Coturnix japonica: one gene and its partner. The protein of the gene in region 2 purifies or fractionates together with the protein of the main gene of each other region. This does not show direct contact. Links are inferred from orthologs where the notes say so. Each region holds a gene or a part of one and is shown on either strand. Other genes may lie near its edges.

Region 1 (5,913 bases), on a different chromosome or scaffold from region 2:
CATGAATATTCACTACTATGATGTTCTCAGTATCTTGATATTCATTCATAAGACTGACACTTGTTCCAAAACATATTAGGAAATGCATCTGACGCTTAACGAGTCTCCACAAAGACCTCTTCAAAACTGAGAGACAAGCATCAGAAACAACAGGAAACCTCTTTAAGAAGCTCTGACCTGCAGTGCTTCAGCAATCCAACTCTGGATTTAAATGGAACGTCAACTAATACATTCTCTGTGTGTATACAGAATAGATTAAAATGGATTCCTATCCCTGGATGCATCTTTGTTGTTAATAACAGTAAAACAAGATAACAGTACTTCCTATATCTGACTTGAAGCCAGAAGAGATGAGAGACTCCAAGATTTCCCTGGGGACATTTCAAGGCAGGACACTCCTCAGTCTTTGCTGGCTTTATCAAGAGGCCCAAGAAAGGAAAACACAGAGTATAACAGAGCCATACACGTACTTCACCATCAGTGCTGAGTACAAACGAAGTGATGTCCTCCTGGTCATCCTTGAAAAACAATAAAAGAAAACCACAGTTACTCATCTCTGTGTTGCTTAGGCGTGCTCTCAAGCCTTCCCTTGCCACAGCTCCTACTAACCCACAGACCCACAATGACAGACAATGCAAACACCAGCCAGGTCTGCAGCTCTCAGCCCCCTCTATTTCCACTCCTGAGGGCTTCAAAACACCCCAGTCACAACCGCATCCCATGGAGCTGTGCTTAAGGCTCCCTGGCTCCCTCACCTGCTCGAGGCTGTGCAGCACAGCTCCCGTTTCCACATCGATCACGTTCAACTTGGTCCCGCAGGGGCAGAACATGAACTTCCCATCGCGGCTCAACTAGGAATCAAAGGATGGGGAGGTGAGAGCGGAGCGTGGGGGCGGCCCAGCCCCTTCTAGAGCCCGGCTGTAAGCGGCCATTACCTGAACCCGGCCTCCTTTGTAGAACGGCTCGATTTTCCTCGACACAGCATAACTGAAAGGGGGAATTAAAGAAATAGAAAGGAAATGAGATCGTTAAAGCGAAGACAGCGCAGCTCGGCCGCTCGCCCCAGCCCCAGCCCCGCTCACTTGCTCTTGAATCGCACCGCGCTGCCCGCCGCAGCCGCCATGACACCCCCCGCTCCGCGTGCAGGCCACTTCCGGGTTTTAAAGGGCGGGACTTCCGGCGCACTCTGATGACGTAAGAGCAGAGTAAGGAAGCGCCCTCCCTCAGTGTCACGTGGTACGGAGCTGCTTCTGTGTGTGTGTTGTGGTTAATGAATGGATGTTAACGAATGGACGGCGGATGGAGCAGCCTCCTGCCCGTCCTGGCTGTTTAACAGCACCATCCCACACCCTTCAGACCCCACACAGGGCTTGTGGACTGTAAGAAAGCACAACAGGACTCGAATAAGCGTTCAAACGAGTCAATCTTTATTGAAAGCACTCCGCTCCGTTGGTACGAGCGTTCTTTTATCCACATCCCGCACATTTTCTTAGTATTCCAACCCTAAATCATCATCCGCCCTTCACATGAAGGTGCTTTTGGTCCTATCTTCACATGGAGGATCCCAGCCGGGCTGTTCCACCTGCAGGAAGACTCGGAGCTCACACACGGTGCTCACACACAGCCCACATCACCCTACAATGCCGCCCCAGCCGCCCCTCATTGCCGTTATGGGAACACGGGTTTCACTGCCCACACACCGTCACCGTGGGCGATACGCTCTGCTGCTCCCTTTGCTGTCGGCACCGTTATCTCACCGGAGGCCACGGGAGACCAAAGGTGATTTTCAGACCGTGCCAAAGGCCCCTCATTCAGTACCCACCCCCTATCATAGTATCACAGTATCGTGCGGGTTGGAAGGGACCTTAGAGATCATCGAGTCCAACCCCCGGGATTCGAGCCTCTGTGTAGCAGAGCGGCACTTCTACCACCTGCGCCACAGGGGATTCGAACCCAGGGCCCCCAGTGTTGCAATCAGCACTGCCTACAGCCAGGCCCTCAACAAAGCCTGAACAGCTCTAAACGCCGCCAAAAGCCAAGAGAATCAAATAGAACCGAACGAGCTGCGCCCACCCACCCCCACGCAAACAACCCCACTCACTTACGTCCGAGCTCATTGGAGCGCAGCTCCACGTGTGCGCAGCTTTATATTCTGAGCCTACGCATGCGTAAGCTCGGCGCATGCGCACAGCTTCCGCCCGGCCCTCCCGCCCCGCACTCTGTATAAGTAAGCAGATCGCGCCCCCTTTGCGCTGTAGTGTATTCCGCATTCAGCGCGCGGGGTTGACACTTCAGAGAGGTGTTCTCGCGAGAACTTCCTGGGTATAAATACCTACCGGCGGTAAGTGGCGGCCTTCTACTATTGAAACACGTAAGTATGGCGGGCGATGGAATGGCGTCTGCGTGCGGCCTCCGCTCCATCCGCGCCCATCGGCGCCTCCTGCGGCTCGGGGCCGGCCGTACCTCTCCGGATGGATCCCGGCCGGGCTTTGCGGCCTCGCCGTGTGGTTATTTCGACCTGATGGTGGCGATGTTCTGACTAATTCACCTCTTTCTATACAGCAAATGGCGGACGACGCCGGTGCTGCGGGAGGAGCAGGAGCCGCCCGAGGGGGATTCAGGGGCGGCTTCGGGACCGGGCTGAGGGGCCGCGGGCGAGGCCGTGGAAGGGGCCGAGGGAGAGGACGGGGAGCCCGAGGGGGCAAAGCGGAGGATAAGGAAGTAAGTGGAAGCAGCAGGGCAGGGTTATGTCGGGCTGTGCCCTGTAGTGCTGCCATACAGCCCCCCCACCCCATAGGAGCTGCTGTAAAAGCCCTTTGTTGTTTACTGCTTTCTTTTGTAGTGGATTCCTGTCACCAAACTCGGTCGCCTGGTGAAGGATATGAAGATCAAGTCTCTGGAGGAGATCTATCTCTTCTCCCTTCCCATCAAGGTGAGATGCTGGGGATGCTCGGAGCTGGTGAGCAGCTTGTAGCAGGATCTGAACTGTAAAGCTGGCATTAGTTGCCTTATTTATTACTTACAAAGCTCAAGTTGAGCCACTTTGCTATTGATTTTACTCCGGTTTGTAGATAAGAGCAGCGAGATTTGTGTGTTTTTTCTGTGTTATTTGGATATTGCAGCTTAGCAATGTGTGATTAAATGGTTGAATCTTACAGGAGTCAGAGATCATCGATTTCTTCTTGGGGTCTTCTCTAAAAGATGAGGTGTTGAAGATCATGCCTGTCCAGAAACAGACTCGTGCTGGTCAACGTACCAGGTTTAAGGTAATTTTGTTATGTCTTTATTCTTCAGGGACATCCACAGCCTCTCTGTGCAGCCCATTGCATCACCCTACCAGACTCTGTAACTTCATAAGTTGTAGGAGCTACTTAATAGCTGCTTCATTGTAGTGTGCTGTAGCTGTTAAATATTAGTATGTGCTTCTGGTTATCTGTGATGAGATCCTGCTGAGTTGTTGTGCTGAGAGAGCTCTCCTGTATGGCAAAACCTCGGTTGAAAGCTTCCCTTTGATTTTAGGCTTTTGTTGCTATCGGAGACTACAACGGCCACGTTGGTCTGGGCGTTAAATGCTCTAAAGAAGTAGCTACAGCTATTCGCGGGGCCATCATTTTGGCTAAATTATCCATCGTCCCGGTGAGACGAGGATACTGGGGGAACAAGATCGGCAAACCTCACACTGTGCCTTGCAAGGTAAGAGCATCTCGCTGTGCATTGCATGTGAGTCACGTTGTGTGTGTGCTGTGGAAGCTGTAACCTGTTGTGTTTGTAGGTTACTGGGCGCTGTGGGTCTGTCCTGGTGCGTCTGATCCCAGCACCTCGAGGTACAGGCATCGTGTCTGCCCCTGTTCCTAAGAAGCTGCTGATGATGGCTGGAATTGATGACTGTTATACATCAGCCAGGGGCTGCACTGCCACGCTGGGCAACTTTGGTAAGTGTGAGGTTATTGTGTTGTAGTTCAGCTCTGTGTGTGTTGCTGTTTTCATTACTGAAAGGGAAGTAACTTAAACCCGTGTTAAATTGGAAGCTCCTCATCTCCCAATCTGCGCGGTTGCACTTTTGTGAAGTAGTGTAACTGTCGTATATGGAGAGAGAAAGGAAACTGAATTTTAAGAGTATAACACAGGGATCCTCTTCTGGTCTCTCTGTTCCCTCTGAAATTCTACACTTCTGGAGCTGTGTAAGTGTGTACAGGAGCTCATTTCTCTAACAGTGACGTGCAATGTTTAACTTGTTTCCATAGCTAAGGCCACCTTCGATGCCATCTCCAAGACATACAGTTACCTGACTCCTGACCTCTGGAAAGAGACTGTATTCACCAAATCTCCTTACCAGGTAAACATGCAGCTCTTCCTTCAGTGGGTTACGATGCTGAGAAGGTTATGACAGTGGTGTACATAAATGAAATGCTGTTTTTCTTTCTATCCAGGAGTTCACTGATCATCTGGCTAAGACCCACACCAGAGTCTCAGTGCAGAGAACCCAGGCAGCTGCTGTGGCAACTACTTAAAGTGGTTTTTGTACAAGACAATAAAGTGGACAGTGGACAAGAAATTGGTTTGATTGGATGCTTTGTGCGTTGGGCAGATCGGTTACATCTGTGCTTGGGATCTAAGTAGGCTCAGATCTGTGGGAAGCAGCCTGAACATCTGCTGGGTAGAATAGAATGTTTTACACTAACCCTTGTTAATCAGGTATTAAATCCTGAGCGGGGTTTGTAACTAAAAAGAGGGGAATATAATGTGCCTTTATACTCCTTTCACAGCACATTTACTCTGAGGGTGCTCCCTAATGATTTGTGGTAGTGGAGAAATCCAGCAGGGACACCCCCAGGGTTCCACAGCTCATATATATGGGTGCCTGGAGCTGACTTTGTTCAGAGGGTGGTAGCAGCCAACTGGAATGCAGAGCTGGAAAAGGAAGAATTCTAAGATTCTTTTACATACCTCTGCAAAGAATGAGTCTGTGCTAATGGATGGTACGGCAGATGTTTGGGTTTGCAAGTTTATTATAGAACATCACAGTTCACAGGTGTAACACAAGGATTTGAGAGAAGCACCAATGAGGGAGGTGCTAATTAATTCCATAACCGGATCTACTGAGACGCGTTTTCTTTTGCCTTCATTTCTTCTATCATCCTGTGCTTCTGCTTCATCAGACACTTCCTGGCATTTCCATGGACACCAAGATCACCATCTAAAAGGAAAAGTAATCATGGGGGTGTCTGAAAAGTAACACTCAGCTGCTAGGAGGAACTAGATCTGAGCCAGGTGAAGTCTGGCACTCAGGGCAGTGCAAGCTGCAGTGCTGAAATGCACTCAGCTTTGGGTACTGCGAGAGCATCAAATGCCTTTGTACTGTGCTTATTGAAATGTCATTGCCTGGGCTTAGTGGGTCCAGCACATCTGAGCCCAGATCTGCAGTGTCTGCCAAGAGGGAATTTTAGCACAAAGATGAGATCTTTGAGCTCTTCTTTCCCCGTGTGCTGTCACAGCTATAGTAGATGTGAAGGCTGCTGTACTCACATCTCTCCTGATAGGCTTTGGTGACCTGTGCAAGCAGCTCCGCCTCCTTAGCGCAGTTCTGAAACTGGTTTGGTCCTTCCCTGTGCTTGCACGCACCGAGCCTTTCCCGGATTATCTCCACGATCTGCTGATCCACCAACCTGTGTGGGAGACGGGAATCACAGAATTGTAGGGGTTGGAAGGGACCTCCAGAGATCATCGAGTCCAACCTCCTGCCAAAGCAGGCTCCTACACCACATCACACAGCTCGGCGTCCAGGTGGGTCTTAAATATCTCCAGAGAAGGAGACTCCACCACCTCCCTGTGCAGCCTGTTCCAGTGCTCCGTCACCCTCACTGTAAAGAAGTTCTTTGGCACATTCGTGCAGAACTTCCTATGCTGTACTTT
Region 2 (4,172 bases):
GGCCAAGGCTCAGGCCATCCTGGAGGCGTCGCGCTCCTCCATGGGTGAGTGTGGTGCTGGGCTCCTCATGGATTGCGGTGCTCCTGGTGCACAGCGCGGCTCCTTCACGTCGCTTTCATCCAGGGATGGACATTTCCCCCATCGACCTCATCAACATCGAGAGTTTCTCCAGCCGCGTCATCTCGCTGTCCGAGTACCGCAAGGGCCTGCAGGAATATCTGCGCTCCAAGATGAGCCAGGTGGCCCCCAGCCTCTCAGCGCTCATCGGGGAGGTGGTGAGTGCCATTTCCCTCCCTGCCCCCCCCCAGGCTGTGGAGGTGATGTCTGAGTGAATCTGTCAATCCACTGAGCCCTTGTGCTGACACCCCTCACTGCTGATCCCAGCCTGGCACCGTGTGCTGCTGCTCCCCCCATGGCTGCAGTGCTGTGGGGGCAGCCATAACCCCGTATATAACCCCGTGTCTAACCCCATTAACCCTGTATCTAACCCCTGTCCCCTCACAGGTGGGCGCCCGCCTCATCTCCCACGCCGGCAGCCTGACCAACCTGGCCAAGTACCCGGCCTCGACGGTGCAGATCCTGGGGGCGGAGAAGGCCCTGTTCAGGTACCGCTGCGGGGTGGTTGCAGTGATGGCGGCTCCCTGGGCCGCTGGCAGTGACGCACCGGGCAGCTCCGGCCTCGGTTGTGTGTGAGCTGCCAGCCCCAGCCCCTGAGCGACCACTGCGGCTCAGCAGCTCGTGCCCGCTGTGCTCGGCGAGGTCAGAGGGATGGGAGCGGGTGGGCGGCGTCCCCTGGGCGTTGCTGGGGGTTGGAGGGGGGAAGTGGGGGATAGCGGCTCCCATCTGGGGCACATCAGCCCCGGGCCGCCCTGACGGCTGGTTGGGCTTCTCAGGGCTCTGAAGACCCGCGGGAACACCCCCAAGTACGGCCTCATCTTCCACTCCACCTTCATCGGGCGCGCGGCCGCCAAGAACAAAGGGCGCATCTCCCGCTACCTGGCCAACAAGTGCACCATCGCATCCCGCATCGACTGCTTCTCAGGTGGGGGGGATGGGGGTGGGACGGGGCAGGGGATGGGGATGGGGGTGGGATGGGGAATGGGGGGTGGGATGGGATGGGGCAGGGGATGCGGCCTCTGCTGTGATGGGAAGATTTTTCGTCAACAGCATTTCACACAGTGAATGTTGATACGTCTGGGCTGAGCAGGGCGCTGCTGGGGGGCGCTGGGTGCTGGGCTGGGTGTGAGGAGGGGAGGGCTGCTGGGTGCAAGGAGAGCTGCTGAGCACGGCTGTCCCTGCAGAGGTTCCCACCAGCGTCTTTGGGGACAAACTGAGGGAGCAGGTGGAGGAACGGCTGGCGTTCTATGAGACCGGGGAGCCGCCCCGCAAGAACCTGGAGGTGATGAAGGAGGCCATGGTGGAGGTGAGGCTGTGGTGGAGGTGGGGCTGTGGTGGAGGTGGGGACGTGGGGGGGACGTGGGGCTGCTGGGCTGTTGGACATGATGTGAAGTTCCCACCTGACTCACTGTGGAGGCAAAAAGCTGATTTAATGAGGCTGATCCAACAGCTCTGGTGGAGGTTGGGGGGGGTTGTGTGGAGTCTGGCCCTGCACCCATTGCTCCTCTGCTCCCCGCAGGCCAGCGAGGTGGTGGCTGAGGTGAAAAGGAAGCAGGAAAAGAAGGAGAAGAAGAGGAGGAAGCGGGAGAAGCGGCGCCTGGAGGCTCTGGCTGCGGCAGCCGAGGAGCTGGAGAACTCGGTGCAGGACGTGGAGGTGAGGGGGAGGTTCTGAGTGTCCTGGGGGGGGGTTGGGGTGACCCCACTGCACTATGGTCACATCCAGGCTGCCCAGCAGTGGCTGCTGCTCCTGCCCTGGGGCTGGGGGTGCCCCAATGTGGGGGATGCCCCGTTGTGGGGGCTGCTGGGTTACATGGAACCAGCTGGTCTCTGTGCTCCGTGGGCTGCCCTCACCATGTGCCTTCCATTAGGAAAATAACATAGAGCCAAAGAAAAAGAAAAAGAAGAAGAAGGAGCAGGAGGAGGAAGAGGAGGAGGAGGAGGAGGCTGCTACCGAGCCAGAGCAGAATGGGCTGCAGGAGGAGGAGGAGGAAGAGGAGGAGGCCTTGCCCAAGAAGAAAAGGAAACTGATGGGAGATGGCACCCCAATGGAGAAGAAGAAGAAAAAGAAGAAGGTCAAGGATGAGGAGGAGCTGAGCTGAGCCGGGCTGCAACCCTGCACTGTGGACTCGGGGCTGCTGGGGGCAGCTGCAGCCCATCATCCAACCATCCATCCAGGCCCTGGGGGCCCAGCGCTGCAGCTCCGGGCGTTGGACTCTGGGCTCTGCCTCAATGGGGCTCTGCCTCCTTTGGCCCCATGGCTCCTGCGCTGCTGTGCTTCCTGCCTTCAGTCTCAGCCCCCGGGAGCGGCTGGTGCCAGGAACTGCCCCGTGTGACTGAGCCTCGGCAAATAAAGGGCTGGGGTCTCAATGAGCCTCGGTGAATAAAGGGCTGGGGTCTCAATGAGCCTCGGCAAATAAAGGGCTGGGGTCTCAATGAGCCTCGGCAAATAAAGGGCTGGGGTCTCAATGAGCCTCAGTCAATAAAGGGCTGCGGTTGCTCCTCCTGCTTTTTCCTCACGGCTCCTCATGGCTGCAGCCCCCCAGCGCTGCGCTGTGCCCGGTGCCCCGCTGTGTTATAACCGGTGCCCCATTGTTTCCCGGTACTGGAGCCGTATCCCGCTGTTACCGGGGGGGCTCAGGGCGCTGCATTGCGGGCAGGGACCGTCACGTTGCAGAGTCGCACTTTATTAGAGGGAAGCAATAAATTACCGGGCAGGTCGCGGGGCCCAGAGGGCGGGGATGGGCCCTACACGTCCAGGGACCCGATCACAGCCTGGGTGAAATCCATGGACGTGGCGTATCCACCCATGTCCGCTGTGCGAACCTGCAACGAAACGCAGCGTCAGTGACGGAAACCGCCCGGCGGCCGCTGCGTCCGGGGCTGGGGCCGGTCGGACGTTGCCGTGTCCTGGGCCGGGGTCGCTCCGGCCGTTGCTGTGTCCCGGTGTTGGCGGCTGCTCCGGCCGCTGTTGGTGCCGCTGTGCCCCGATGGCCGCAGCTCCCAGCCCGGCATTAGGAAGAGCCGCTGCTCCCAGGGCAGCGGGGCCGTGTCCCGCCGTGTCCCGCCGTGTCCCCGCCGCAGCCCGGCTCAGTCCCTGCCCGTTGCCGGGTCCCCGCGGTGCAGCCGGAGGCGGCGCTGTGCGGGATGCGGGGCTGGTTGGGGGCGGGGGGAGCGTTGGGGCCTTTATTCGCTCGCACAACACGAAGCGCCGTTAGTTGAACGTCCGGCCGCTCGCTCCGGGCCGGGCTCAAACCACGAGCTGCCGCAGCCGCGACCCCCCGCCCGGCCCGCAGCGCCCCGGGGCCGAGCGAGCACGGAGCAGCACGCAGCCATGCACACCATGCACACCATGCACACGGATGGCAGCACGGAGCCATGCACACCATGCACACGGACGGCAGCACGCAGCCATGCACACCATGCACACGGACGGCAGCACGCAGCCATGCACACCATGCACACGGATGGCAGCATGGAGCCATGCACGCCATGCACGCCATGCACACGGACGGCAGCACGCAGCCATGCACACCATGCATACAGATGGCAGCACGGAGCCATGCACACCATGCACGCCATGCACACGGATGGCAGCACGGAGCCATGCACACCATGCACACGGACGGCAGCACGCAGCCATGCACGCCATGCACACGGACGGCAGCACGCAGCCATGCACGCCATGCACACGGATGGCAGCACGGAGCCATGCACACCATGCACGCCATGCACACGGACGGCAGCACGGAGCCATGCACGCCATGCACACCATGCACACGGATGGCAGCACAGAGCATGCACACCATGCACACCAGCACACGGACGGCAGCACGCAGCCATGCACGCCATGCACGCCATGCACACGGAGGCAGCACGGAGCCAATGCACACCATGCACGCCATGCACACGGACGGCAGCACGGAGCCATGCACGACCATCACACCATGCACACGGATGGCAGCACGGAAGCCATGCACGCCATGCACACGGATGGCAGCACGGAAGCCATGCACGCCATGCACAACGGACGGCAGCACGGAGCCATGCACGCCATG

What was found. The genes of interacting proteins can lie anywhere in the genome.
Region 1: the proteins of NOP56 (region 2) and RPS2 purify together in Homo sapiens (affinity purification with mass spectrometry; 3 studies listed by BioGRID and IntAct, with this or other methods). This does not show direct contact. The link is inferred for Coturnix japonica from reciprocal best matches to the Homo sapiens genes NOP56 and RPS2.

What each region holds. Positions count from the first base shown.
Region 1 is NC_029529.1:6,100,806-6,106,718, reverse strand, and holds RPS2 (40S ribosomal protein S2), read left to right. Parts: upstream 1-2,539; 5' UTR 2,540-2,565; coding exon 2,566-2,721; intron 2,722-2,842; coding exon 2,843-2,932; intron 2,933-3,158; coding exon 3,159-3,266; intron 3,267-3,519; coding exon 3,520-3,693; intron 3,694-3,772; coding exon 3,773-3,932; intron 3,933-4,244; coding exon 4,245-4,336; intron 4,337-4,430; coding exon 4,431-4,511; 3' UTR 4,512-4,555; downstream 4,556-5,913. Other genes in the region: TBL3 (transducin beta-like protein 3), read right to left, coding at 471-518, 756-851, 936-987, 1,083-1,123; NDUFB10 (NADH dehydrogenase [ubiquinone] 1 beta subcomplex subunit 10), read right to left, coding at 5,097-5,197, 5,527-5,666.
Region 2 is NW_015439533.1:244,222-248,393, reverse strand, and holds the end of NOP56 (nucleolar protein 56), read left to right. Parts: coding exon 1-44; intron 45-123; coding exon 124-275; intron 276-504; coding exon 505-605; intron 606-893; coding exon 894-1,042; intron 1,043-1,136; exon of another isoform or gene 1,137-1,207; intron 1,208-1,301; coding exon 1,302-1,423; intron 1,424-1,494; exon of another isoform or gene 1,495-1,562; intron 1,563-1,636; coding exon 1,637-1,771; intron 1,772-1,985; coding exon 1,986-2,216; 3' UTR 2,217-2,612; downstream 2,613-4,172. UniProt on the Homo sapiens protein: Involved in the early to middle stages of 60S ribosomal subunit biogenesis. Required for the biogenesis of box C/D snoRNAs such U3, U8 and U14 snoRNAs. Part of the small subunit (SSU) processome, first precursor of the small eukaryotic ribosomal subunit.